4 linked regions of the Astyanax mexicanus genome follow. The protein of the gene in region 1 interacts with the protein of each later gene in a pairwise test. Links are inferred from orthologs where the notes say so. Each region holds a gene or a part of one and is shown in the gene's direction. Other genes may lie near its edges. The genes, in order: nif3l1, natd1, dhps and cdkn2c.

What was found.
Region 2: the proteins of nif3l1 (region 1) and natd1 interact in binary tests that used the Homo sapiens proteins (3 or more experiments, as listed by UniProt). The two-hybrid records come from large-scale screens. The link is inferred for Astyanax mexicanus from reciprocal best matches to the Homo sapiens genes NIF3L1 and NATD1.
Region 3: the proteins of nif3l1 (region 1) and dhps interact in binary tests that used the Homo sapiens proteins (3 or more experiments, as listed by UniProt). The two-hybrid records come from large-scale screens. The link is inferred for Astyanax mexicanus from reciprocal best matches to the Homo sapiens genes NIF3L1 and DHPS.
Region 4: the proteins of nif3l1 (region 1) and cdkn2c interact in binary tests that used the Homo sapiens proteins (3 or more experiments, as listed by UniProt). The two-hybrid records come from large-scale screens. The link is inferred for Astyanax mexicanus from reciprocal best matches to the Homo sapiens genes NIF3L1 and CDKN2C.

Annotation. Positions count from the first base shown.
Region 1 is NC_064422.1:9,929,064-9,937,005, forward strand, and holds the start of nif3l1 (NIF3-like protein 1), read left to right. Parts: upstream 1-4,918; 5' UTR 4,919-4,978; intron 4,979-5,019; exon of another isoform or gene 5,020-5,041; intron 5,042-6,196; 5' UTR 6,197-6,210; coding exon 6,211-6,685; intron 6,686-6,782; coding exon 6,783-6,939; intron 6,940-7,942. UniProt on the Homo sapiens protein: May function as a transcriptional corepressor through its interaction with COPS2, negatively regulating the expression of genes involved in neuronal differentiation.
Region 2 is NC_064426.1:27,674,794-27,681,727, reverse strand, and holds the start of natd1 (protein NATD1), read left to right. Parts: upstream 1-3,908; 5' UTR 3,909-4,065; coding exon 4,066-4,162; intron 4,163-6,456; coding exon 6,457-6,575; intron 6,576-6,934.
Region 3 is NC_064426.1:39,363,984-39,371,248, reverse strand, and holds the start of dhps (deoxyhypusine synthase), read left to right. Parts: upstream 1-4,247; 5' UTR 4,248-4,395; intron 4,396-5,911; coding exon 5,912-6,106; intron 6,107-7,154; coding exon 7,155-7,265. Other genes in the region: guanine nucleotide-binding protein G(I)/G(S)/G(O) subunit gamma-7, read right to left, coding at 866-991, 2,057-2,152. UniProt on the Homo sapiens protein: Catalyzes the NAD-dependent oxidative cleavage of spermidine and the subsequent transfer of the butylamine moiety of spermidine to the epsilon-amino group of a critical lysine residue of the eIF-5A precursor protein to form the intermediate deoxyhypusine residue.
Region 4 is NC_064419.1:46,763,184-46,770,481, forward strand, and holds the start of cdkn2c (cyclin-dependent kinase 4 inhibitor C), read left to right. Parts: upstream 1-4,294; 5' UTR 4,295-5,256; coding exon 5,257-5,385; intron 5,386-7,298. UniProt on the Homo sapiens protein: Interacts strongly with CDK6, weakly with CDK4. Inhibits cell growth and proliferation with a correlated dependence on endogenous retinoblastoma protein RB.

The DNA of each region.
Region 1 (7,942 bases):
CTGTGTCTAAATTGCTTGTTGGTGCCCAACCCAATCTTCCTGTGTAAACCGGTTTAACTTTAGGCCAGAAATCAGGTCAAGGACCACTGCAGCCGAAAAGTATGAAGAAAAAGTATCTGGTTAAAACAAATTAAAATGGCATGTTTCTTATATTATTATATTATAATGGATATCCAGTCTTTTCCACAGTCTCATAAAATAAAACTGTATGTTTGGAAAATGGCACAACCAAGTTATTAGATGTAGAGAGCAAATACAATTAATACAATAAATGTATATAATAGATTAAATTAAAATTTAAATAGTCTTGTTATAATTACTCAGGTTATTCTTTTCTGATGTTAAAATGTGTTTGTTAAACTAAGAAATGGGAACTGGCTTCTGTGATGTGCACAAGTGACTAGATGATGTGAAAATTGAACAATTGGTGGCAAAATGCTCCAAAGCAACAGAGAAACACTGTAAATATATGTAATTGAAAAGCCCAGACTGAGAGATCTTTGTTATTATAGTATGTATTATTATATTACTATACACAGGGGTTGGACAATGAAACTGAAACATCTAGTTTTAGACCACAATAATGTATTGTCCCAGTTCTGGTGGAAACAGGAGAGTTGAGGTGCACATTGAATTCTGCCGTGATTTGATCAGCCGTGGTTTTATGTTTATTGGATAAAATCCGGGTTAGCACCCGAACATCCCTTTCAGACAATGTATGCTGACATTACCCTGGATACTGTGGCTCTTGATGCATCACAAAGACTTGCTGTCTTGGTCACAGATGCTCCAGCAAGACGTGCACCAACAATTTGTCCTCTTTTGAACTCTGATATGTCACCCATAATGTTGTGTGCATTGCAATATTTTGAGCAGAACTGTGCTCTTACTCTGCTAATTGAACCTTCACACTCTGATCTTACTGGTGCAATGTGCAATTAATGAAGATTGAACACCAGGCTGGTCCAATTTAGCCATGAAACCTCCCACACTAAAATGACAGGTGTTTCAGTTTCATTGTCCAACCCCTGTATGTGGCATAACATTTTCTTAAAATGACAATAATATCATTTATTGCAATTATGTCTGGGACAAAATATAGAGACAAAAATACTTATTGTTTAATTCTATTGGAAATTCTTTACACTCTTTGTTGATAACAGTCAGAAAGGATGCAGGTTTCTCCCTCGATTCTGTAAAGACCTTCATTGGCTGGTGTTCAAGTGTATCATCCCAGGACGAGCTAAAATAACCTGAGACAAAAATAAAGCCGGACAACAACAGTCTAATCTGCTTCAATAATCACAGATCAGATCAGCAGATAGAAACCAGGCTGCTCATCAGTTAATCACACACTCATCCTAATTTAATGCATTTAAACTACGTTCTTGTGAGTGACGGAAGACACACACACACACACACACACACACCTCAATAACTTTAATAACCTGTGCACAGTGCGTCTGAAACAGGTCGACAGCTGGCCTGCTGAGGCTTACACCACCAATTACCCAAAGTGGACTCTGGCACCCGTCTCTCTCTCTCTCTGTCTCTCTCTGTCTGTCTCACACACCCAGTGTCCAGCATGCACATCTGTCCCCTCTGTACCGCACATCTGTAAAAAAAAAAAACTCCTCTTCTGTGCACCAACCCAAGCCAAGACATGTCCTCTAAAACTCAGTTGATTAAAGCGTTACGCAACATGTCCAGTTGCTGCGCTTGACCCGCCCTTGTGCTCATCCTTGTGCTGTTTTTATTTTTTATTTTTTTGCAGAAGGCAATAGAACAGGGGGGTCCAAATTTTCGTTTAAAGTGGGCCAGATCGACCCATATAAAAACATTCTTTGCAAAAATACTTTATTTAAAATGTGAGAAAAAACACAAACATACAGAACTACAGTCACTTTTGTTTAAACACACATATATTTTATTTAAACACACATAATATATATATATATATATATATATATATATATATATATATATATATATATATATATATATATATTTTTTTTTTTTTTTTTTTTTTTTACATGCAGCAGGAGATCACACAATACCAAATCTTACAGCAGATTTTTGGAGACTTTTTCCCTTTGTGGATAATACTGCACCTTCTGAGAGCATTACGAGATTCATTCAGTCCAGTCAGAGAAACAAACTGCTCCTAAATATACTGTAGGTAGCTAACCTACATTTAGAATTAATACAAACTTAAATACAAACTAAATGTATCTATTTTGGAACAACTTATGGTAACTTAAGTATATTTCAATTGTAATTAAGCTATATTTAAATACAACATACAAGCATTAAGTTGTGCTTTTGAGTGTTTTTTGCATATAACTTCTGCAAACTTAAATAGATTTGAGTATGTGTTTTTTTTATGATTTTTAATACACTTGATGTATATTATAAAAAAACTATTACTCTAAAGCGCAAGTGTATTTTCATAAAGTATATGAAATAAAAAAATTACTTTTAGTATTCTTTACCTAATTTGAAGATATTTTAATGCTCTTAAGTATACTTCCTTTTCACAAGGGGAGGTAGATTTGGTATACAGTGAATAGTGAATATTTGAGTAATGTTCTAATGCAGATTATGAGAAGCAACAACTACTTAACTAAGTAAAGAAAAAAAAATCACTTTAAGAAATGACGGTCAGAAAAAAAAAGGTCAGTCAATCGAAAAAACTCTGAAAGTATCCTCAAGTGCAGTTGTAAAGAACATCCAAAACATTATGTTGAAATTGGCACTCATCAGGACCGCCCAAGGAAAGGAAGAGCAAGAGTTTCCTCTGTTGTACAGGATAAGTTCATCAGAGTTACCAGCCTCAGAAACAAATGCAAGTTAACAGCTCCCCAGATAAGAGCACCTAAAAGCTTCTTCACAGAGTATTTTGGTTTGTTTAACACTTTTTAGTTACTCCATGATTCCTTATGTGTTCCTTCCATATTCACTTACAATGTTGGAAAAAAAAAGAAACATTTTGAAGTGTGTCTTCAAACAGGAAGGACCCCAATTGCAGAAAAAGTTCACATAAGGTTAATAGTACTACTAGTTCTTTATTATTAATAATGAAGTAATAATATTGCATGATTATCGGTGTATGAAATATTTGTCTTGCCTAATTTCTGAATTGTTATATGCCATTGAAATCAATCAAAGTTATTTATTCTCACGGTTAAAGCAGAGACTGAAACTGCACAGCAGCAGCATTCCTGGCAGATGGTAAAATCACTGATCAAACACAAAAAGACACAGAGATTATTAAATATCAGACACTGTGATCTGACTGGATTGGAAATAACATCATTTGTACCCGATTTGAGTCAGAAAGTCAGTGTTTTAATGGAAATGAAGCACTAAAACACATTGAAATTTAGGTTAAAATGAAAGTAACAGACAGAGTGTAATATAATGACCTCTGTCATTGATTTGCTTCTCATCTCTCCAAAATTCAGGACATTTGTGGCCTCTCTCCATCTCATTAATCCAAATTAATCCCCCCTCTCTCTCATGACCTGGCGTTTTTCAGCAGTATGAGCGTCGCGTGTCGCCGCCGGGGGCCGTAACCCTTTCCTGTAATCAGCTTTTTGCCCTTCTGCCACATCTCTTTATTCTCTGATTCAGGATTTGACTGATTCCCCGGAATCCTGTATTCATTGCGGATGTGGATGGCCTGTCTGTTCACTAATTTCCAGAACAAATCTTCAGAGATCAGAGGACAACTGGTGCATGGCTACATGTATGCTGTAATGTTGATGTTATTATAATGTTTATGTAAACCTCATTATGTCTCTTTATCCCTTGAAGGCCAATACACCAAATATACAGCCATGTCTACCTTTCTACTTCTCAACTTTAGTAACCTGATGATGTCAGGTATAAAACTTATCTTACAAAGCTGGAGATGTTTAGTTTGTGTATAATTACATTAAAGAGAGATTTTAGATTGGTAGAGATAGAAAGTGTGGTAGAAATGTACATTTTAGGAAAATAAGTTATTATATCGACAGAGTATGTCAAACAAATTAAGTTTGAAAAAATAAGTAAAGATTTAAAATAACAATATGTCTTTTGACTTATTCATTGTCGCAACATACTAACGAAAAATATATAGTTTAAGTTAACATTTAAAAACATCGAGAATTGTTTTTGAAAAATACAACAATAAATAATTTATCAATATTTCTCAAGAAGTAATATGATGTATTTTTTTTTTTATAAAATCACATGTGGATATTAAATGCTCTGCTCTGACACATATCTAGTGCACTTTCAATTTCCCTAGCACTTTTATACTTTCAATACTATATAGAACTGAATAAGCAAATCTAATTTAAGCATGCTTCAGATTATTATAATCAAGATGAAGATGGATGATCACAAGCCATCAAACCAATATGAACTGCTTACATTTTTGCACTAGGAGTAAAGGCATAAAGTTATCCAAAAGCAGTGTGTAAGACTGGTGGAGGAGAATATGATGCCAAGATGCATGAAAACTGTGATTAAAAAACAGGGATATTTCACCAAATATTAATTTCTGAACTCTTAAAACTTTATGAAAATGAACTTATTTTCTTTGCGTTATTTGAGGTCTGAAAGCTCTGCATCTTTTTGTTATTTAAGCCATTTCTCATTTTCTGCAAATAAATGCTCTAAATAACAATATTTTTATTTGGAATTTGGGGGGAATGTTATTTGTAGTTTATAGAATAAAACTGTACAATATTTTTTTCTCTCAAATATATACCTATTAATAGCAAATGGTAACTTCTTTTTCTATATATTACGTTATATTAAATTATTTAATCACACTGGTTGTTAATAATGCCTTTTTATTTTTAGCTTAAACTTTTTTCGCAAAAAAAAAAAAAACCTGGATGTCATGTTATGTCATGTATTTTCTTATCCAATCAGCTCTCGGCTTGCTGGTCGGCCCCGCCCCCCGCTTCTGCACATGTGTATGGTGGTGAGTTGAGCTGGGTTTATGTGGTTTTGCTGGTTTTGCTGGTTCATAGCAGTTTTATCTGCAGTATGTTGTTGGTTTGAGCTTTATTATTAATGTGCGCTGCTGTGTTCAGTTAGTTGCTTAGCCTAAATAAACAGGGAGAATTTAGCTGGCTAGGTTATGTAGTTAGCCTAGCATGCTAACAGAAGCTAATGACAGCTAACCAAAACAAATTACAGAACTTTACACCACTGAATCTGTAATTAATCACACAGGCAGCATGTGGACCACGCTGTGGACGAAATGATTAGTTAATAAACGTCTTTTAATACAACTCAAATCGATTTGGCCACGTTAAAATATACTTTTTATTTGAACACGCCATTCCACCTTAAATAGTGCGGAAGGTTGCTATGTAACTGCTGCACCTTTTAAGGTGGAACGGAGAGTACAGCACTGCACAGTGTCTGCTCGTGTATTAGGGCTTTTATTTTATATGTACAATATAATTTAAGTAACTTAATTTAAGTAAAAATAATGGTAAATGTATATTCTGTAGGGTTTTTTTTACGAATAAAAACTGTAGATAGTCCGCATATATTGTTTTAGGTTTTTATAACAATAAAATGTAATATAATACCCTAGTACTGGGCTACAATGGGCAATAATGGACAATATAAAAAAAAAAAATGAAAATGTCATTAAACAGTTACATTATTTCAGTTTAAAATGTACATCTCATATTATATAGATATATTACACACAGAGTGATCTATATATTATAATACTGAAGATGAACATTTACATTAGATAGAACAAAGTGGCTATAAATGAAACTACACTTTTAAGCTAAAGAAAGTTTTGGAATTGAAACAGATTCACAAAAGAGTTTCCCTTTACTACACTGCATATACAGCTTCTATGAAAATTAGCAGTGCTTTCAGACCTTAAATAGTGCTAAGAAAACAAGTTAATAATAATTTAAAAACAACAACAGAACTAGTGTAGTATTGTAAAATACTAACTCAGGAAGAGTTCAGAAATCAACATTGTTGGAATAACCCTGAGTTGGTGGAATAATTCCTGAACAGCAGTTTGATTTTATTTACATTTTCTATTTAAAAAAAATCTATATTCCAGTTAATGTATCCCTCCAATATCAGAATTTTCCTAATTACAAAAGTCTAATGCAGTGCAGCTGCATTATTATTTTTACTTTTTTTTTATGATCCTCCACAGCTGGGGCTTCATCCATGATTCCTGGGTGTAGGATTGTGACCAGAAGACTCTTCAACCTGAGACATTGTCTGTCTTCCCTAAACCCCAGCTGTCATCCTCGCCACCTCTCTCAGTCAGGCCATTGTAACGTTTCCATGGATTTAAAGGGAGTTTTAGGGGTTCTTGAGCAACTGGCTCCACTCTCACTGGCAGAATCATGGGACAATGTCGGCTTATTGGTTGAACCCAGCAGACCACGGCCCATCAAAACCATCCTCCTCACCAATGACCTCACGTCTGCCGTCATGGACGAGGCTGAGGAGATGGCATGTGACCTTGTCATCTCGTACCACCCACCTCTATTCCGGCCTTTCAAACGACTGCTCCAAAAAGACTGGAAGCAGCGATTGGCCGTCAGAGCTGTAGAAGGCGGGATTGCAGTCTTCTCCCCACATACATCATGGGACAGCGCCAAAGACGGCCTTAATGACTGGCTGATAGGAGGATTGGGTTAGTTATCATCTTCAAATTAATCATCATCATCATCATCATTATTATAATACAGTATATTTCTTTAAAAATGGTAACTTGTGATTTTTCTCCTCAGGTCATGGACAAGTGTCCGTATTGAGCCAAGCTCTCTGCAGCGCCCCTCAGAGGCATCGGGTGGAGTTCACTGCTGGAAGTCAAGTGGAGCTCGACAGTATCTTGAAGCTGCTGAAGGAGACAGAAAACAGTGAAGCATTTCAGTACACTCTGCTTAGGTATGTTATTTTCTCACTAATTTACATAGCCAATTACCCAACCCACTCATTGGGACTACCCCTATCACTAGTGATGCCCCAACACCAGGAGGGTAAAGACTACCACGCGCCTCCTCCGACACATGTGAAGTCAGACTCCGCCTCTTTTTGAACTGCTGCTGATACAGCATTACCGAGTAGCATCATAGTGCGCTCGGAGGAAAGAGCAGCGACTCGGTTCCGATACATCAGCTCACAGATGCGTTGTGCTGTGGACATTACCCTTGGAGTAATGTGGGGAGAGAGCGCCATCTACTGTACCCACCCAGAGAAAGAAAGGCCAATTGTGCTCTCTCAGGGCTCTGATAGCTGATGGCAAGCATTAAAACTAGTGGTGTCAATCCATTACAAAAACCTAATTAATAGAATTCATAATAGAATTCTGCAATTGATCAAAATGAATCAAATAAAAAAAATCAGTGTTATAAACACTAAGATTTGTATTATTGGTGCTGACCCCTTAAAAAAGTATTATATTTATTATAACAATATTATGTGACTAAAATCAAAGAATAAATAATGATTATATTTTTTATATGTTGGTACATATAAATTTTTTTACATTTTTTAATTTTTGGGAAAGGGACAGTAATAATGGTGTAGTGTGGGTTACACCTAGCAGATTAGATCCTTTTTTACTGGAATCTCAGGGTAGATTTAATGTATTATAATATTTTAGGGTATGATTGATGCTTTTTAAACTAGAATACTGTAATGTGCCGAGTTTAATCTACCTTCTGAACTACCTGCTGAAGTGTTGCTGTGTTATATCTCTAAAAGCTAATTGTGAGCATGGCATGGCCATTAAAAAGTGAACTAATTCTGAAAAGGACTGAAACTGATGAGAATAGAGTTGGTGGTCTTTCTATGTAAGAGTGATGTTGTATAAAGAACTTAACGAACATGTTTTGTACTATAGCCCATAGACCTATTCTAACGTGTAAAAAGAGGTATATTTTTTAAG
Region 2 (6,934 bases), on another chromosome or scaffold:
GGCATTTAATACTTGATCACTTGCATCTTTTATTTTGTACTCAAAACTTAATCAAACAAGCTCATGAAATGTCCACTGAGCTGGTCAAAACATCAGAGTTAGGGTCAGACCTGCGCTGAGTTTGGAATGGTTCACTCATTAACTCCTTTACTATTCACTATATTGTGGCGGCTCTGGGTTGTGTGTGTGGCTGCCTGCAGGCATGTTCTGTTCTCCTGTGTGCGAGGATGACAGGGGTGGGGCATCTCCCTTGGGAGGGGTTATGCAGAGAGGGTGGGCACCACTCTGGATCTGCCATCTGGGAGACACACAGCTGGGTTGGTGGCCTTTGGGCTAATTAAATCCGTGTATCATTCGTTCATTTGATATTCAATTGAGAATCAAAATCGGAAAATTAAAAAACCAATTCGTTTTTTCGTTTTTTCGTTTTTGAATATAATACCAAAAAACGAATAACGGCTTGTATTTTGTATTTTTATTTGGTTATCCAAACAAAAATTGGAAATTTAAAAAACGGACCAGGAGCCGAATTTGATTTTGATTTTGAACTTGACCCATTTGTGTGCCCCGGAAGTTACTGATTTGTTTATTCTTGGTGGGTTTCTGTTGCGCGGGAGTTCACTGCAGTGTTATCTACACAGTCTGTATTGCTGTAGGCAGCATGGCCGGACTGGAACCACATTCTGGCCTAATTAAAGATCTTTTTGAAGGTGGTAAGACGCATGAAGAGATTTCGTGCACGTTGCAGCAAATGGGGATCCAGCGATGTTCTGCAATGAGTGTTAGAAGGTTCTGTGTTCAACACGACCTTAAGCGAAAAAGACATGTATTTTCTGTTGTCATATCGTCTTCTTTCACTGCAACGCGTTTAGTTCCTCTGAACAAGATAAAACTCTCCATCCTCAACTCCATCCAAAGCCTACAGCAATACAGACTGTGTAGATAACACTGCAGTGAACTCCCGCGCAACAGAAACCCACCAAGAATAAACAAATCAGTAACTTCCGGGCACACAAATGGGTCAAGTTCAAAATCAAAATCAAATTCGGCTCCTGGTCCGTTTTTTAAATTTCCAATTTTTGTTTGGATAACCAAATAAAAATACAAAATACAAGCCGTTATTCGTTTTTTGGTATTATATTCAAAAACGAAAAAACGAATTGTTTTTTTAATTTTCCGATTTTGATTCTCAATTGAATATCAAATGAACGAATGATACACGGATTTATTTAGCTCTTTGGTTTAATGATTTAGCTCTCCTAGTCTTGTTAAAGATTCTGAGTGAGTGGCAAGCTGGTTCAATAAAAGGAGCTGTTGAGCATTCAGCATGAGTCTCACGGGTCTTCCTTCCTCTTCCACGCCACAAAATAATATTTGCTGTTTAGGGAAAACCCAAACAACAAAACATCTTGCATAGTGCTTTTCTGATGACATTACATTATGGTATACATTGGACATTTTTTACAATGTGTTATGGGTGTTCAATTGTAAACTTTATAGGAAATAAAATGTACTGTTGAGATTTCAAACTCTACAAACACACCATAATTTTCACTATTTCTGTAACAGGGAGCAATTCTGAACACTGTATCAAACCCTTTGTAAAGATCACTTTCTGGTTGTTCCAGAAAATATACATTTTAAGAAAATATAAATATTTCCTGATAAACATAATTGCAAAGTGAAAAAAAAAACAATAGGAGGTTTCTTACAGTGATGACATTGATTTAAAGGGTTAACAAAGAAAGACTTTTCTGTAGTTTTTAAGACCAATCTGAAATATTATTATCTGAAATGTATATTGTCCTCCAGCAGAATTTTCTTGTAATAACCTGACTTAAAAAAAAAAACCACTCCTACAGTCAGAGTAATGTTACAGCCCATCACTAAACTGAACTGAAGTAATGGTTTCCAACAGAAATTCTGAAATAGTTCTATATTTAATCTGGGAGTTCTAGAAGCAGCTCTCGAAACCATAAATCCTAATCTACTTCAGCTCACTGTGAACTCGTTTACCTTTTTCATGTTGTTCCTTTGTGTGTTTATAATTCTTTTATAAAACTCCTGTGTGCATTATTAGCAACTCTGTCTTATAACCAATATAGGAACTGGTTTCCTGGCAACTAATTATTAAGCCTAAGCCTAAACTAATAAGGATTTTCAATTGAGCATCATTGCTGGCACTGCAATTGCACTTATTGAGAAACACTCTAGACCTTTAATCCATGCTGGCCCGTGAAGTTTCTGTGCATGGATTTGCAACTGTGCTTAAAGTGTATATGCACCAATGAGCTTTGATGTTCAAAAACCTGCCTAATTTGGTGTAGGTAGGTCCTCCTTGTTCCAGCAAACACACAGTGTTCTGAAGTGTGAACTGAGGCACCAATATTCAGCAGCAAGTCCTGTAGGCCAAGGTGGGCCTTATGTCTGTTATTGTTGTTAGAATTCACCAATACTCCCTTTATATTTTATATATTACTTTAAAGTGAGTAATCAGTGTTTTTCACTTTACATTTTTTTTATTGTCCAATAAAAAGAGCTTTTGTTCTGCTATGTATTTGTTTAGAGTAAATGACATTTACTAAAAACAAAAAATATATCACAAATATAACAAATATAATTACTTGAGTTACTTATTTATATTTATTTTTTATTTTTAAAAATGTATTATGTAGTTTCTCTTTTTTTTACCTGATTAAACTATTTATAACTATAACTATTTTTTTCAGTTTCTTTAAATTCTTTATAAATGCACTAAAAATGCTGCATTGAAATAATAAAAAAAACAAATAAAAAAAAAAACAAAGGTTCACTAATTGATTCAAAATGTTTTTTACATTACGTTAGACATTTTAATGTTATGGCTTATCTGTGAATTTTAATGAGTGGAATTTAGTTTTTTTTTCTAGAAAAATAAAAATATAATTTTTTTTATTATTATTTTTTTACAATTCATTCTTTCTGACTACTATTGGCCATGAATCCATGTTTTTCACTTAGTTTCAGTTGTTTTAAACTTATTTGTTTATTTTCATTAAGGAAAATGTTTTTTTCTTGTCTTGAGTAAGTAGAGGCTTTTTTATTATATGACCTATTATATATTTAGTTTTCATTTTATTAAAATTCATCCACTGCTATCCAGATACTTTTGGGCAAGTGACCTACTATTAAAATACTTTGGCAGTTTAATTTTCTGACTGTATCAAGCTAAATTCGAAAATAGAAAATTGGGTATAAAACTTAATCATTGTTTTTTTTTCACTCAGTAAAGTGAAGAAGAAATGGGTTTCCATCCAGTTTTTCAATTATATAGTTTTTCATTTCAGCCTTTGGCAAACAGAATTTCAAGAAAAATGAAAAAGTGAATCTTCTCTCGCTTTTCAGATGGGTCCATTTTTGTATCTTGTAACACATATCTGATGGTATAATCCTTGCAATATGCAAAAATGGAAAAATCAGAAAATGAAGAAAAGATTCCTTTTTATTTTTGAGATGAAAAATATATAATTGGATAAATTGATAAAAAGTATTTATTGTACACTGCATTACATAAAAACCAATGAATTTTTACATCCAATTTTATATTTTTGCATTTAGCCAGTCAGTCAGAAAAAACAGTCAGAAAAAAAAATAATAAACGTTACACTGACCATGGCTGATCCGTGTATTTTTTTTGTTTGTTTTTTTGAGGGAAAATGTTTTTTTTTTAGAAAAGGCTTTTTATTTTATTAAAATTCATCATCCACTGCTAACTGTTATCTGGATATTTTTGGCCCTGCGTGGTTACAGTAATACGGTCTCCATCTAGCGGTCAGGTGCGGCAAGTGCATCACGAGGCCGCGCATCAAAACATTGCCTGCGTGTTCTGATTGGCTGAGGCGAACACGTGGGCTCACAGCTGATTTTTTTGGATGGAGTGTTTTTTTGCTGGGCTGTCTGAACGCCCTCAGTCCGCCTGGGCCAGCCCGGCTCTCAGCCTGCGTCTCGGGGCTGCTGCTGCTGCTGCTGCTGCTGTATCAGACGCAGCGCTCTCACCGACTTTTAGCGCACCGCTGCTCCAGCACCATGGCCCAGGCCGCCCAGATCAACATCCTGGAGATCAGCAGCCCCATTCGGGTCGAGCACGACAAGAAGCGGCGGCAGTTTAGCATCCGTCTCAACGGTAAAGAGGCTGGAGTTGGGCTGGCGGGGACAGGGAGAGAGCAGCGCTGCAGGGCTGTACCTTTGTTTTCATTACAGCCTCGGCTCGGCTGAGTGACACTGGCTGGCTGGCGGGCTAGCGTTAGTTAGCCGGCTGGCTAGTCCTCTGGAACTAGTCCACAGCAGTGCTCACAGCTCTGCTCTTCACTGCTGCTAGCTCAACACTTTCCCTCTTCTCTGTTAACAGTCATTTAACCTAACTAGTGAACCTAGTTAACAAGCTTAGCAACATTAAAACATAGACTTAAGTAACTAGTTAGTTGAATCTCGTTCGTCCTGTATTTTTTCCTGTAAAGCCAAAACATTAAAACCAAGCGTTAACCTAGGTTACAAGTTCGCCCGCTAGCTTAGCTTAGCTAATGTATATGTTTTTCCTCAACCTTAGCAACTAGCCAGCTCTCATTACCCTTAAGCTCGCTACACAGCAAAAATTCGACATTCACGCCCGTTTAACAGCTTAAACCTCGAGATTCAGGTGAGGAAAACTCATTTTAGAAAGGTCTTTCGTTTGTTTGGAGATATTTTCGAATGTAAACACAGATTTAGTTGCTTTTCAGCTGTATTTTGTTAGCCAGCCCTCGTTTGACTTCCTGTTACATCAATAACAAGAGATTATCTGTGCAAAACAAAACAGACACACAGTTGTTTTTTTCCTCTGTCAGTGTGGTTTTCACTGAACCCGTAGCTGAAAACCTTCAAACCCAAGCTTAGCTTTTTCTATCAAAGAAGAAAAGCAATTTATGGAGGCTTAGTTAGCTAGTGTAAAATGGGTTCGTCGATGAAGTGAAGCATTCATTACATTTAACTACATTGGAATAACCATTTATTAAACTGAAAGAACAGTTTATGCCCCAAATTAAGGGCACAGGCCACTGACATAGTGGTAATTGAATAGCATAATAAAGCATTCATCCACTTTTAAAGTAAAGATAGTGTCATTCTTGTGATAGGCCTATGTGATGCAAGATAATATATTGCTTAAAAAGCCACTAAACTCTAAAACATACCAGTCCTGCTTAAAATGTTTATAAACATTTCCTAACCTTAAAAAAACGCTTTTATTAAGGTAATTTCCGCCTGTACTTTGGTACGCAGACACATCACAATATACAGATCAATCGATAATACCACCCCACTGCTGACATCCAACCATCTGGGTCCTGCCACTGTCAGAGGCACGCTGCTGCTGCTGCTGCAGCTCAGCCAATCAGCTCTGCCTCCTGCCCCACCTCTAAACCCATACATCACCCAGTGCCCCTCCCAATCTACCCCTCTCATTTTTTAGCATTTTTCAAATTTGAGCTGAGGGTGGAGTCAGCTAAAATTAGGGGGTTTAGTAGCCCTTTACATGTTTAAACCAAAATGTTTAATTTATTGTGATATTAGAAAAATACTTGGAAAATCTCAATTTAGGACAAGTTGACATTTTAAGCAAACAGAACAGTGGGATCTAAGGACAGGGTACAACAGTGCCTTTTAGTGGACAGGGTTTAAACACAACACAAAATGAACCACCTTCCGAAACCAATATTTACAAGTAAACTAATAATTAAAGACCTACACTGTATTGCAAAACAAAATGTAGAATCAATATTTTCTTGCACACCTAGAGGGAACAGTTCATTAAATTAAGGCAAACAATTGTTAGACTAAGATAAGAATGTATTAAATGTAGATAACAAACATCTAAACTGAGGTAACAATTATGTAAATTGAGGGCACACTTGTAATTATTTACTTAAATGAGGAAACAACTTACTAAACTAAGTTACTGTTACATTGAGTGAACAAATTGTTGAACTGAGGATGCAGTTTTTTTTAACATCAGGGGATGGTTTGTTAAAATGAGGAAACCATTAATCCGGGAGAACATTTAATGTATTTACCTTTTTGTTCTACCTTGATACATCAGGGGCGGCATATCATTGACCTAATTAACCTATTTTGACCTACATTAGCGTCATAATTCTGTTTATTATTTAGCATTTTCATAATTACCCAGGGGGAAAACTCAGTTAAGGAAGGTTGTAAACTGTTTATACTGTGCTTTTATAGCAAATCATCAAAGCAAATAAAAAATATAAATGAACACAACTGAAAAACTCAATAATTATAATTTGTATCATTTTTAATATTAAACAGTCAATAAAGCCAGAACAAATCACAGATAACTGAGGCCTACACATATATATCTTGTAAAAAAAATCTGGTTTGTTTACAATACTAATTATTTTTTACTCATCCTTTGTTTGGTAGGTTCTTATGATAGAGCCGTGTTGCTGTATGAGTATGTGGGGAAGAAGACTGTGGACCTGCAACACACTGAGGTGCCAGATGCCTACAGAGGACGGGGCATTGCCAAGCATTTGGCCAAGGTGGAGTTTTATAACTGTAGATAGAGTGAAGAGGAATTCATGTATGAGTTATGACCTTAATTTATCTGTCTCCGGACTGCCAAGAGTGTGACCAATAGGCCAGTGTTGGCCAGTAAGAATCCAATGTCAGGATAACAGAAATTTGATTTGTGATCTGTGGGAATGCCATGTACTGTGTTTTCTTTAAATATCATTTAAAGCTAATAGACATTTAACATTTATATGGGGGCTACATTTCTGTTGTCATTTCAGTTAAATTAATATAATGCAGATATTTCATAGCATTTATTTAAATCCTCCAAATTCCTGCTCTGTTTGGTTTTAATAAAGGCAATTAATCAAATATTGTTTTGAAATAT
Region 3 (7,265 bases), on another chromosome or scaffold:
TGTGTTTTTTTTTTAAACTGAGTTGTGTTTTGAGTTGAAAACTAAATTGCAGTGCATTAAAAAACAGTAAAAAGGCAAAAACATCAATGTTTCACTTATTTGAATTGTCAGAGAAAGACAAAAAAAGTTTAAACAAGATGTATCATTGCCTTTAAATAGTAATAGTGTATATAGTCGCTGTCCAACGAAAAACAAGTATCTCCAAAACAGCAACTTTACAGGAAAGAGAAAAAAAACTTATAAAAAGATATAAAAAGGGTTAATTTCAAGTCATTTTGAAGTATTTCTACTGGTCTTTTTATCAAGACATTTTGGCACAGTGTAAAGGACAGTTTGTCTGTTTAAATTACGTAATGAACTAAATATCAACAAAAATGGAGATACTTGTTTGTCAGTGGACGCATACAGTACATTATACAGAGTTAAAGCTGTGAAATTAATCCATAATACAGAACATTTACAACACAAGTGATGCTAAAAGAGAGCTTTAGATACCACTACTGGGTATTACCTTTCATAATATAAATATATATACAGTCTACAATAATCAGCCTGAATATTCAAGTAAATAACATTGATTATCACATTATATTGGCACTTTTTATCTTATCTACATATTAGGCAGCAAGTGAACAGTCATTTCTGGAAGTTGATGTGTGGGATGCATGGAAGTTGGGCAAAAGCTATACTGATGGATAGATACATTGAGTCAGAACATCTTTAAAATATTATGTAGGTTTTGCTTGGTGTTCTTGTTATATTACATATGCTATATATAAATATGCTATATTATTTCTTACAGATTACCAGAATTTTCATTGTCTTTATTAGTGATGCATGTGTGGCTTCATGGTTGTTGGTTCTCCTATAGCAGCACACAGGTTTTCTTGTCTTTGAAAGGGTTTGATGAGGCAGAGATGCCGGTCAGCAGTGGATCTCCACGCCGGTTCTCCTGACAGTACTGAACCAGCTGAGCAGCTGCAGCCGAAATCTGCAAGAAACATGGCATTACATCACTATCACTATCACCAGACGCCCAGCCAATAGGGTTAAGGTTATTACTTAGCTTATTTCTTTTTGTTTTTTTAGGAAGAAGAATCAAAATTTCAACAATACATTTTCTTCTGAGACCCTAAAACAGTAGCATCAAACTTTCTTTCATTCAGAAAGCCTTAAGTCATTAAATTTAGAGTTTTTTATTTTTAATTATTCTAAAATGTTCTGCATTGCAGATTAACAATAAAGTCATCATTCTACAAAACTATGAAGAAAATCATATAGAATTATTTAGTAAACAAAAAAGTGTTAAACTAACTAGAATATGTTTTATATTTTAGATTCTTCAAAGTAGCCCCTCTTGGCTGATTTTTTTTCAGTCAGCTTTATGAGGTAGAGTCACCTAGAATTCAGGCTGGGTGTCATGTCGCTTTTCGCGGGAGTTCTTCTTCTGGCCATGTCATGTGTCTTTACATACTTGGGTCACAAGTACAGCCTCTAAAAGAGGATCCGGCTCAGTTTTACTGAACACGAGCAGCTGGTGGAGCAATGGAGACTTCAGAAGGGGAAACTCAGAGCTCAGTAGCTCATTCATTTACTCATAGTAAAAGCAAAGAAACGAAGGAGTGAAGTTTCTGACTGAGCGCTCTCTCTCTCTCTCTTTGACTGAACATAACCTGGAATCGGATTCATCCGCTCTGAAAGGAGACCCCATCACACCCGCCCAGTTTAAAATGACTTCCGCATGCTCGGTGCAATTACCCACTCTCACCAGAGAGGGCATTAAATCCCCCAAATCCCAAAATTTACAGACATGAGCTTTAAAAAATGAAGGTCAGTCAACCCGAAACATTTCAAAAACTTTGAAACTAAACTTAAACGCAGTCGCAATGTCGCAAAAAATGTTCCGATGGAACTGGCACTAATCAGGACCACTACATTTATGGAAAATGAAAGGTTCATCAAAGTTACCAGCCTCAGAAACCACAAGTAAGTGCTTCAAAGAGTATTCTTTTGGTTTGTTTAACACCTTTAAGTTATTACATGACCTTTTGCCTACCTTGATCCTCTCCAGGCCGGCCTCCAGTCTCAGCTGTTCCACCGCTTTCCTGGCCTGGAGGACGGTGTTGCTGCTGTACACCTTCCCAGCCTCCATCCTTCAGCTCCTCATCAGGTCATCCAAGTCCTGCTCAGATATGGAGTGTGATATGGAGATATGGAACTGAGAGTCGTGGTGGAGGTTATTTAACCTGTGCCCACCCTCCATCCCCCCCGGGCACCTGCGGTCACTCTGAAGACCACTTCACACAGCTCTGTGATGTGGCCGAGCTGAAAGGTCACACAGGCAGGTGTGGAAAGGTCAGGCCCACATCACACACTATCAGAGGAGAAGCCCTGGAGGGATATATAGAGCTGCTGACCTGTGTGTGTGTGTGTGTGTCAGTTTAGCTTTTACCCAGTTTATTCATAATGGATTTTTTATAAGATAAAAATAATTATATATGTATAAATATTTTAACAACAGTACAAATGTTATAAAACTAATACATTAAATTCATTAAACAGATTAAAAATCTAATTCAGACATATCAGAACTTTGCTACATTATATCATTGTTTGCTACAATTCCCAAATAACCTGTTTTATTGTTTATTGTATCCTTATTGTAATATTGTTGATAAGACAAAATAAAATAAGATAAGATAAGATAATTCTTTTATTAGTCCGACAGTGGGGAAATTCATAGTGTTTCAGCAGCAAATGGATAACAAGGCACTCATTACAATAAAATAGATCAAATAAACAATATAATATATACAATATAAATCATAAAAAGTCAAAAACTCTTTAGATTGTAGATTGTATTTACAAATAATTGCACATTGCACATTGCCTCTTAATTGCATTGGGATAAAGAAAAAAAATATTTTACATTATGTTACACAAAAAAACATATATTTTCTATAAGTATGTAGTATTTAAGTGTGTGTTTATGAAGTGTGTATATGTGGGTTGGTTTTAGAGTCTAACAGCAGCAGGAAAGAAAGACCTGCAATACCTGGATGAATTATATTAACGCATATACTTGTTAACAGACATTTTGCTAAATGAGACATTTTCTTTTAAATGTCACATTAGTAAATGCATGTCAAAAATAAGAAAAGGCTCAACATTTTTACAGAAATAAATATGTTTATAAATATTTTTTTATTTGTTTTTTTATGTTTTGTTGGTTGTTTTATGCTTTTTTTATTATTTTTTTTGTCTCCCAGATCCCTTTTCAGAGTGCTAACTGAGCTTAACTAAAATTATATATTCAGAACTAACTGGTAAGACATTCTTAAAATTATCGATAGACAGTAGACAGACTCTATAGACAGACTCTAAGTGCTCTATTAAATAAGTGACTTGAGTGTTCTTTAAGCCCCCTTTTATTCTGAATTATTTAATTTCTTCTAAAGCAAATCTTATATTTTTTGCTTGTTTTTCAAATACTTTTACCATATCTTTTGTTTTTTGTTTTTTTGTTTAAGTTCCTTATTTTAGCTCTCCTGATTAAATACTTGAGTTTCGTTTTAATTAAAATTTTTAGTCCCTTCAAGTTTTAAATGCTCTGCGACATTGAAAATTAGGGTTGCCCTTAATGTATTACAGAGTAAAAATAAGGGTTGACCGGTATCACTAAATTATTGTAACTTTAACTGTTTTAGTTGATTTTTTTTTTACCTTTTTTTTTACCTTTTACTTTTTATTTGATTTATTTTGTCTTTTTATTTATTTCATTTATTAAACTTTTGGCCTTTTACCTTTCATTATTTATATTGAAATTTCATTCATTGAACCTTTTATTTATTTTTTATTTTATAAATTGTACTATTGCAATTATTTTATTATTTTATTGCTTTACATTTTTGCCTGTCAACTTAAGCTTTTATTCTGAATTATTTTACTTCTTCTTTATTCAATTTTATATTGTTTGCTTGTTTTCTAATAATTTTTCCATTTATTTTTTATGATATTGTTTATGAAGTTTCTTGATTTTAATTCAAATTAAATCTATTTTTTAGTCCCTTCAAGTTTTAAATGCTTGCTGCATTAAAAATGAGGATTGCCCTTAATATATTACTGTGTGAAAATAAAGAATTAGAAAAATATATAATTAAAAAATTGATTGATTTAATCTAACGTTTATAAAAACTGTTCGAACGCGAAATCCGTCTCCCTCCACTAGTTTGTCCCAACGTGGCCGCCGTACTTTGTAGCAACAACGTGGGATCAGTGTGAGTGATGAGGCTGCAGTGTAGCTTCATCTGCTCCTGAACACAGATAACAGATAAATACAGATCAATACAGATAATTAATAGCTCCAGCTCCTGATCCGGATTCAGCTCCTGCAGGGTAAGTGTGTGTATCAGTCAGTAATAACTGCACAAGAAAGCTGTTCTCAGATCAGTGTTTATTATTACAGTCCTGTTAGCTTTAGCTCATTTAGCTGCTTATATTACTGCAGCACTGCTGCTGCTGTATCAATAACACACCCATAATAAAAGTCTGTTTTTATTTTTATTAAATAAATAAAAGCCTTTTTTAACCATTTCTCTAGAAGTGTTCTTGTCGTTATCGACACTATTATTCATTCTCTCAGTCATAAGAACCTGTGCAGAGCAAATTTTTCATTCCACCTTAAATGATGCAGCAGATCCTGTGTAGACATATAGCAAGCATACACAAGCCTGAGTGTATCCAGGGCTCTAGTTAAGGTGGAATAGAAAATTCCAGTAAGAAAAAATAGTCAAATACAGCCTGGACTTGTACAGTATACACTACCTGTCAAAAGACACAATTTTTTAGTAAATGTTTTTGTATTTTTATAATTTTCTACATTGTAAATGAATTCTAAAGTGATCCAAGCTATGGAGGAACACATAAGAAGTCATGTAGTAACTTAAAAGTGTTAAACAAACCAAAAGAGGTGGCTCTGATGCTTGTTGCATCATTTCTGAGGCTGTAAACTCCTGCTCTCCTGATAAGAGCCAGTTTCATCATTGTGTTTTCGATTGTCTTTGCAACCGCACTTGAGTATACTTTTAAATTTCTTGAAATTTCTCGTATTGACTGACCTTCATTTCTTAAAGTATTTTTTTATTTACTTAGTTGAGTAGGTCTTGCTTCTCATAATATGGATTAGAACATTACTCAAATAGGGCTATTCAGTGTACAGGTGCATCTCAAAGAAATTAGGTTTTCATTGAAAAGTTACTTTTTTTATTTCAGTAATTCTATTCAAAATGTGAAAATTACAGAGTGATCTATTTAAAATGTTTATTTATTTTCTTTTTGATGATAATGACTTACAACCAGGAACATTAGAATATTATATTGTAAGACCAATTGGTATTTTTGGCAGTGCGGGCAGTGTTCCAGGTCCTGCTGGAAAATGAAATCCCTATCTCAATAAAATTTGTCACCTTTTGACAAGTACAAAAAGAACCCCTGAATTTAAGGTTTGTTTGAATTATATTCTACATACTCTGAATATTTATTTGCCATTTCCTGCAGTTTGTTATGTGAAAAAGAGCCTATTGTTCGACTAACGCATGGTGAAGGTAGATTTTGTGTAACCAAGCACACAAGCCTAAGTGCTGCATTTAAGGTGGAATTGAAAATCGAGTAAGTGAGAGAGAGAAAAAGACAGAAAGAACATTGGATTTTTTACTGTACAGCAGTAATCGGAGTGACCAGTGTTTACCACCATGTTACAGAAAACACCACAGCTGACAGTCAGGAAGTCTCTGCTACCAAATAGTTTTTAGATCAAATTTACAGCACTTAAAATATCAGTTATTGTAAGAGTAACCTAACCTAAATATCTGTAATGGTGACAGTATTACTGTACTCTGTGCATTATCTACAGATGGCGGACAGTGTGCCCTCCGTGGCCAGGGATGCGGTGCTTAAGGAGAGCGCCGCTCTGCCGGAGGACGTGCCGCGGATCCGAGGCTACGACTTTAACCAGGGGGTGGATCACCGAGCCCTGCTGCACTCCTACCTCACCACAGGCTTCCAGGCCAGCAGCTTCGGCCTGGCCGTGCAGGAGATTAACAAAATGGTGAGACTCTTTCCCTCTGTCTACTTTACTTGATTACTGATGAACGTGTCTTGTGCAACAGAGGAAACTCTTGCTTATCCTTTCCTGGGGTGGTCCTGATGAGAGCCAGTTTCATCATAACCTTTCTGTGATAGTCTTTGTAGTGACTGCATTTGAGGATACGGATTGACCTTCATTTCTTAGTCATATTGTTTTAGTAGTACTTGAGTCATAATAGTGTCCAAGTGGCCAAACCTTTGACTGGTTCTGTATATACACTCATTTGCATAAACATCCAGTGTAAGCAGCATTTAACATCTCCCCAACTTCCCTCTATATGTTAAAAGTAGGGATACACTAATGTAGAAATTTTGGGCCAATATTACAAATGTATACACATATATGTACATATTTATAACTCACAGGAAGACCACAAATCCCACTACAACTTTTCCGGCATACAATAGATAGATCAGTAAATATTGGTTTAAAAAAAAAGTAATTTTTAGCCAGTACTGATATAATTTTAATATCATTGTTCATCTCTACTTAACAGTAATGGATGGAGCACCATCAGTCCAGAGAATACAGTTCCACTTCAAATCTCAATGCTGTTAAGATTGGTGTCAGAAGTGGTTCATTCTATGTTTAGGTTTAAACCCCGCCCACTAGACAGCAGTGTTCTGATTGGGTACAAAATAAAGTTTAAACTTACTTAGTTTTATATTGCCTTGCTAACAGTATTGCAATATCTTGCTATATATATATATATATATATATATATATATATATATATATATATATATATATATATATATTTTTTTTTTCTGTATTTGTAAAGTGTCCTTGGGTTTGGGAAAGGCGATATATAAGTTGAACTTATTAAACTTGTTAAAATGATTATTATTATTATTATTATTATTATTATTATTATTATCTGCATTTTGATATGTATCATATCGCCAAGTTCTTGCCAATACACAGCTGAAAAAGAGTAAACCACAGACATTTGGACATAAATCTTATGTTGTCTCTTCTGAAGGACCTGTAATACCTGTGCTGTGTTTAGATTGAGAAGAGGCTGGAGGTGGTGGAGGAGCCGGAGGAGGAGCAGCAGGACGCTGGTGACTCTCAGCAGGGTCGTTCAGGCTGTACCATCTTCTTGGGATACACCTCCAAC
Region 4 (7,298 bases), on another chromosome or scaffold:
AAAGTAGACAAGCTCCACACACGTGATGAAGAACCATTTTAAAGATAAAAAGCTGTAAAGAAAAATAGAATATAAAGCTGTATTTACCTAGTGTAATGATAGGAGGTTGGAAGCTATATAAATGTGACAAACAATGAATCTCATAAACTATTGTCTCTGCATTTATAAAAAAAATCCGGCATAACCAAAACAAAGGTACAAAACAGCCCAATTCAAAAATCTTGCTGTTAAATTTGCTGCTTTGGGTCAAATTCATTCATACTGGCCACTGGATATTCAACATGGCACCTCATAGCAAAGAACTTTCAGAGTTGACATCGATTATCGATTAATTGATAATTTATATGTGTAAAGTGAATGTGTTTTTAAACAAGTTATTACTGAACTCAGAAGATGAAATCACAAAGGTAATGCTTGGGACTTTGGGACTTATTTTTTAATTAATAATTCGTAATCTTGTGCATGTAATGTTGTTAATGTATGTGTAGTGTTATAAGTTAATATGTTTTTGTGTGTATTTGTAAATTTAAAATTAATCAATAAGGTTTCTTTACAAAAAAAGCAAAGAACTGTCTGAGGATGAGAGAAATGGCATTGTTTCACTGCAAAAAATATAATCAATCAATCAATCATCCTTTATTTTCACTCGGGAATACATTAAGAGTAATTCTCATTTTCAATGCAGCCGAGCATTTAAAATGTAAAAGGACTGAAAAAAACTAAAATTAAAACCATTTTGATCAGGTTTAGCTAAAATAAGGAACATTTATTTAATAATAAAAAATCAGTATAAAAGGACAAACAGACTTATAGATAAATATTTTATTGAGGTTTCATGTGTGCAAATTAGTACATAACTGTGAAGTAGAACAAAAATGATGCATGGTTTTCAAAATTTTGACATGCAGCCATGATTTTTCCAGGATTGCTTTGTATTTAGCTCTATCCATCTTCCCATCAACTCTGACCAGGTTCCCTGTCCCTGCTGAAGAATTGCATCCCCACACATGCATGATGCTGCCACCACCATGTTTCACAGTGGGTATGGTTTGTTCAGGGTAATTAGAAGTGTTACTTTTCTGTCACACATTGTGCTTTGCATTTTGGCCAAAAAGTTTAACTTGTGGCAAACACCGCTTCTTTTGTCTTTCTTTCACCACTGGTTTTGTTCCTTATGGAAAATAAAGGCCAGATTTGTGGATTGCACGACTCCTGTGGTAGATCTCTGCAGCTCCTCCAGAGTGACCATGGGCCTCTTGACTGCTTCTCTGACCAGTGCTCTCCTTGCATCACCCTGCCTCTCCCAAACTACCCCTCCCATGTTTAGCATTTTTCAAATTTGAGCTGAGGGTGGAGTCAGCCAAAATTAGGGGGTTTAGTTACACTTTAACTCATTAAGTGACTTAATGCCTAAGTCCTATCTGGACGGGATTAGTTTTTTAGGAGGACGTCTGTGAAAATATTTCACACTTCTACTCAGTGATAAAACTCTTGCATCCGGAGGACCAGTGAGTTTTTAGGCTTTCTCGGTTACATGACATTGCGTTCAGTAGCTCCTCCATTTCCACTCGCTCTTGTGTTTACATGTTTTTTTGTGGAAACACGTGCCCAATGTGTGTGGCAGTGGACAAATAGCTATTTTATTAAACATGAGGAGACGAAACTCAGAGATGTGTGTCTGGACAAGACTAAAATTACTGGAGGACCACAGAGTTCAGAGAAAAACAGTAGATAATTCAGCCTGTTATTTTTATTAGAGGACGTCATACATGGTTCGGGAATAAAATCACAGAAGGTCCCCCATAATGTAGAAAATTACCCCAGGACCCCCTGAAAAATGTGCACGACTCCTGTGATAGATTTCTGCAGCTCCTGCAAAGTGACCATGGGCCTGATGGCTTCTCTTACCAGTGCTCTCCTTGCTCGATCTGTTGGTTGTAAGGTTACAACCAATTGCTTGTAAGTTTTACCCATTTTATATTGTAAGGTATAATATTGGTCTTTACAGGGTCACATGTGTCTTTCCTAACAGCAGGAAGTACAGATTTGTACCATTTAACCAGCCAAAAGGTGCGTTCTGTATTCTGTATCACTGTACTAATAAATAATATATATTTTAATTAAATTTTTCATTTGAAAGCCAGACTATTTTGGATCATCATGTTTTTGACGCATATTCAGTTGATGATCATGTTTATAAACTTTATCATCTTTACTGGTACAAAAAACGTGGGCACAAAAAAGACTTTCGCTGGAAGGTACTCTGTTGTACCTCAGTATAAGGTACAACCATAGCGGTATTAATACATTTGCAAGACACTGTGGATGGATGGATGGATGGATCGATGGATATATAGATAGAGAGATAGATAGATTTGTGTTTCTTCGACTTTAGATGGTTTACCGTTGAGCCCCGCCTCCTCCCTCGTCTGTTAGTGAAAAGTGGGCGGAGGTCTCTGTCCTTTATTTCAAAAAATGAGAAATGAGTGATGTCAAACTCTCTCTCTCTTTCTCCCTCTCTCTTTCTCTCTATCTTGCTTCCCTATTTCCCACAGCGTCAGCTAAAACCCAGTACCTTCCGCAGGGACACGGTAGGCTGGGGTAAAGTGTTGGGACTCGGGACAGCGCAGTGTTACAGATCTGATTTTGTTTAGTTTTTGTCGTGTTTTTCCGTCATGTAGCGCTGCTGTTTTTACTATGTAACCATAACAGAAAGTAAGTATTTATGTATGTCCAGAATTACTGCCTCCTATATCTGGCCTTAACGTTAACTACACGCAGCTACACCGCGGTTTTACGTTAATTCAGTCGTCCGTTCATATTTAATACACATTAATAGATTTTTTTCAATATAACAGACTTAAACTGAAACACTTTATTTGTCTGCTCGTGGTTGGTTTAAAAAGAAACTGAGAGACCTTCAAGTCATATATAAATGATCGTATTTACGAAATGAGTACAGATGAACGTGAACGTCACCTCAAACACTCTAACATACAGTATTTACCAGTGGGAAACTTTACGAGTGGGGGTGAGTCAATACAAAACAGTTTATTAATGTATTTAATTAACAGCAGCTGCTATCTATTTTCTAATCGTTTTCCCTCATCCACACGTTAAACAAAAATCAGATACTGTATCGTTAAACGGATACAAAAAAAATGTTTTTCTGATTGTTATTCGTGTCTTTTCCATTCAAACCCCTTGAACTCCAAAGTCAGTCGTATGTACGAACTTCCGAGGTGGACTTGAAGGCAGCACGACTTCTTAAAGGCAACTTTCGCTCCCTTCAAATCGTGTCGGAATTATGATATTTCCGATATTACTGCATGTGAATGGACGCCACAACCTGGCGACCGTATTCATGTGAGTATAAAACAGGGATTTTCCCCAGTTTTCCTATTTATAAACCCCGACTTTACAATTCGGGGGCGTGTCAATATAAACCCTTCGCTTATTTAGCAGCAAGTGCAGACTATTCTCATCCACGCGTGAAAAGATGAGATATACACCTACATTTCTACTGGATGAGAAAAAAACGCCCACCTTGAGCTTATACAGTGCTCTTTGTTTGTTATTTATTTATTTTGTTTCGTTTACACTAAATATCAGCGCGTAAAGTGAACCTGTCAATATATACAGCTCTGTTGGCAACAGAAAAACAGAAACAAACGAAAGAAAAAGCTGTCTTCCCATGTGTTCGTGTTTTTCAAGCCTAAACACACTTGCAATTGAACAGAAATCACGTCGTGTACGTATTCAAGTCCGAGCTGGCAGCACAAGCTCCGACTTTATTATATACTACTTTATTTTTTACTTAAGGGGGCGTGTCAATACAAACCGCTACTTTTACAGCAACTGTTTTGCATTTATTTTAATGATTTACTCTTATGTTTACGTGAAAAAATAATATCAAAGAGCTGAAAAAGTACATACCCTTGATACTTACTGCATAATATCGCTCACAGAATTGGAAACAAATAGACAGAAGTAACGTTACTGAACAAAAAAAATGAAAGAAAAAGAAAGAATTACTTCCTCAGCTTCTTCTATGTGTTTTTTTTTTTTTTACCTAAAAACCGCTTAAACATGAGCAGTGAGCAGAACTCGCGTTGCACTGGGAAGCGCTCCAAAGTCAGTCGTAACCCAAATTGTTACGAGGCAACTTTCGTGGTGAACTTGAAGGCAGCACAACTTTGAACCACGACATTCAAAGTTTGAAACGGGCGGGAAACTTCACAGCGCACATCCTCCGCAAAGTCATTGGGTGGCTGTGTTTTTTTTTTTTTTTTTTTTTGACGTGACACTGTTTGACTCTACGCTTTTTTAGCTGTTATCTGTGTTTCACACCTCGCGCGTATATGTATATACATATATATTTTTTCATTTTACTTTACTTAAATTGTTGGGTTTTGTATCAGCCTAAACGTCTTCGCTCTTAATGCGCGGACCTTTTTTTAAACTTAGCGCTTTTATTATTATTATATTTTTCCCCCCTGAGGCTCAGCCTGCACCTGCGTGAAGGTAAACGCTTGCGATAGAGGAGCGGATTGATATGCAGATTGTTTTGCATGCTTTGTGAGGGGTTTATTATTGTTTATGCAACACGAGCTTTTTGAGAAAGAGAAAGAGAGAGAAAGAGACTGTCTTTTCAGCGCTGGAGCTGCTGCGTAATGCTGCGTGATAAACTGTTTGTCTTATTTTTTGCAGTGCAATATTTTTTATATTTTTGCGTTTGTTCAAAGCATTTGTTTCAAATGCAACGACTTCTAGAAAGCAGCTCAGCCCGGCTCTCCGTGGCGGCCACGGAGCAGCTGCCCGGGTGAGCTTGAGGACGCCGGGACGAACTTCGGAGGCTCGCCGGCTGCAGATCGGACACGCTGCTGTGCTCTCGCAGGTGGTAGCCGGAGCCCGCCGGAGCGCGCCGGAGCCTCCCCAAGCCTCCTGCCGGTGCTGCCGGTGCTGCTTCCCGGATAGATCCGGCGTGAGATCCCCCCCTGTTTTCCATGTTGGCTACAAATTTGCTTCACTGTTGCGATATTAAAACAAGGGCGGGCCTTGGCACTGCGCCATTTTTTTTTTTTATTTTAGGGGGAGGTGGGGTGGGAGCTGGAAGAAGGGTGTATTTACTACACTTGTGGAGGAGCTCCGCGTCACACTCGGGCATTGTCATCTAAGGAAAGCAGCACCAGCCGCTTGCTTTGAAGTAGAAACCCGTTACTTCGCGGCGCGCGGCTCCGGTTGGGTCCGGTGGAGATGGCCGAAGCCACAGTAGATAAACTGTGCAGCGCAGCTGCAACAGGGCAGTTCAAAATGGTCCAGCAGATCCTGCAGTGCAACGTAGACCCGAACAAGAAGAACGAGTTCAACAGAACCGCATTACAGGTTGGAGAACCATAAAACAATCGACGATGACTTTCTTCACTTTATTAGCTTTATTAGTAATGTTCCACTGCAGGCTGATAATCAGCTCGTGCTCTAATAACACAAATATATATATATTAGGTAGTTAGCTCTACATTATAACCGCATTAACTAATCTGTCAGATATATTATCTTTATGTTTATTAGTTAATTGGTATTTTTGCACTGCAGGCTGAGCATCAGCGCATGCTCTAATAACACAAAAATAGTAATGATAGTAAGGTAGTAAGTGGGTAAGGATGGGTAGTACGTGTAGGCTATTTTATATGATATTTTTTGGCCTGTTTTAATGGCATTACTCTATATTTGTATTACTTAAGATTGCTTTAGTCAGTTTAATGGTAATTCTATATTGTTATTCTAAATTGCTTGATTTCTATTACATTACACTACATGGATATTAGGTGTATATCATATGATATTCTATAGCCTTTTGTAAATTTCATTACTCTAGATGGATAGTGGGTGTATTTTATATGATATTTCATTGCTTGTTTTGATGACATTACACTAGTTGGACAGTGGAGGTTTATGATACGATATTTTATGGCCTAATTTGAATTATATTACTCTATAAGGGTAGTTTAAAATCTTTCGAGGAGTCTTACAGCTTTATTAGTATTTTTAGATTTTTTTTAGATGGGTAGTAGGTGGGTATAAGTGTATTTTATATATTTCATGGCTTGTTTTGAGGACATTATTCTAGATTCTAGGTTGTAGATGTATATTGTTAACTCCATTTCCTTTAAATTAGCTTTTATTAGATTGCTTTAGTCGATTTTACAGCAATTATATATATATATATATATATATATATATATATATATATATATATATATATATATATATATATATATATATTTAAATTGCCTTGTATCTATTAGATTACACATTACAATTTTATATGGCAAATTGCCTGCTTTCTATTACATTACACTAGATGTGTATTGGGTGTATATCATATAATATTGTATAGCCTTTTTTAAATTACATTACACTAGATGGGTATTAGATGTATTTTATATGATATTTCATGGCCTGTTTTGATGACATTACACTAGATGGGCAGTGGGTGTATATGATATGATATTTTATGGCCTAATTTGAATTATATTACTTTAGATGGGTAGAAAATCTTTCCGGCAGTCTTACAGCTTTATTAGTATTTTTGCACTGCTGGCTGATGATTAGCGTGTGCTCTGATAGTAATGATAGTAAGGCAGTAGATGGGTAGTAGGTGTATTTTATATGATATTTCATGGATTGTTTTGAGGACATTAGTATAGATGGGTAGTAGATATATATTTTTAACTCTATTTCCTTTCAAGTACTTTTTATTTCATTGCTTTAGTCAATTTTATAGCGATTCTATATATATATATATTTGTTAATTGCCTGATATGTATTACATTACTCTAGATGGGTAGTAAGTGTATTTTATATGATATTTTATGGCCTGTTTTAATGACATGACACTAGATGGGCAGTGCGTGTATATGATCTAAGATTTTATGGCATTCTATTTGATTGTTTTAGTCAATTTTATGGCAATTCTATATTTTTTTATTTTAAATTATATATGTTTATTTTGCCTGTTATCTATTACATTACACTAGATGGGTAATAGGTGTATTTTTTATGATATTTCATGGCCTGTTTTGCTGACATTACACTAGATGGGCAGTGGGTGTATATGATATAATATTTCATGGCCTAATTTGAATTATATTACTTTAGATGGGCAGTAGAAAATCTTTCCGGGAGTCTTACAGCTTTATTAGTATTTTTACACTGCAGGCTGATGATCAGCGTGTGCTCTGATAGTAATGATAGTAAGGCAGTAGATGGGTAGTAAGTGTATTTTATATAATATT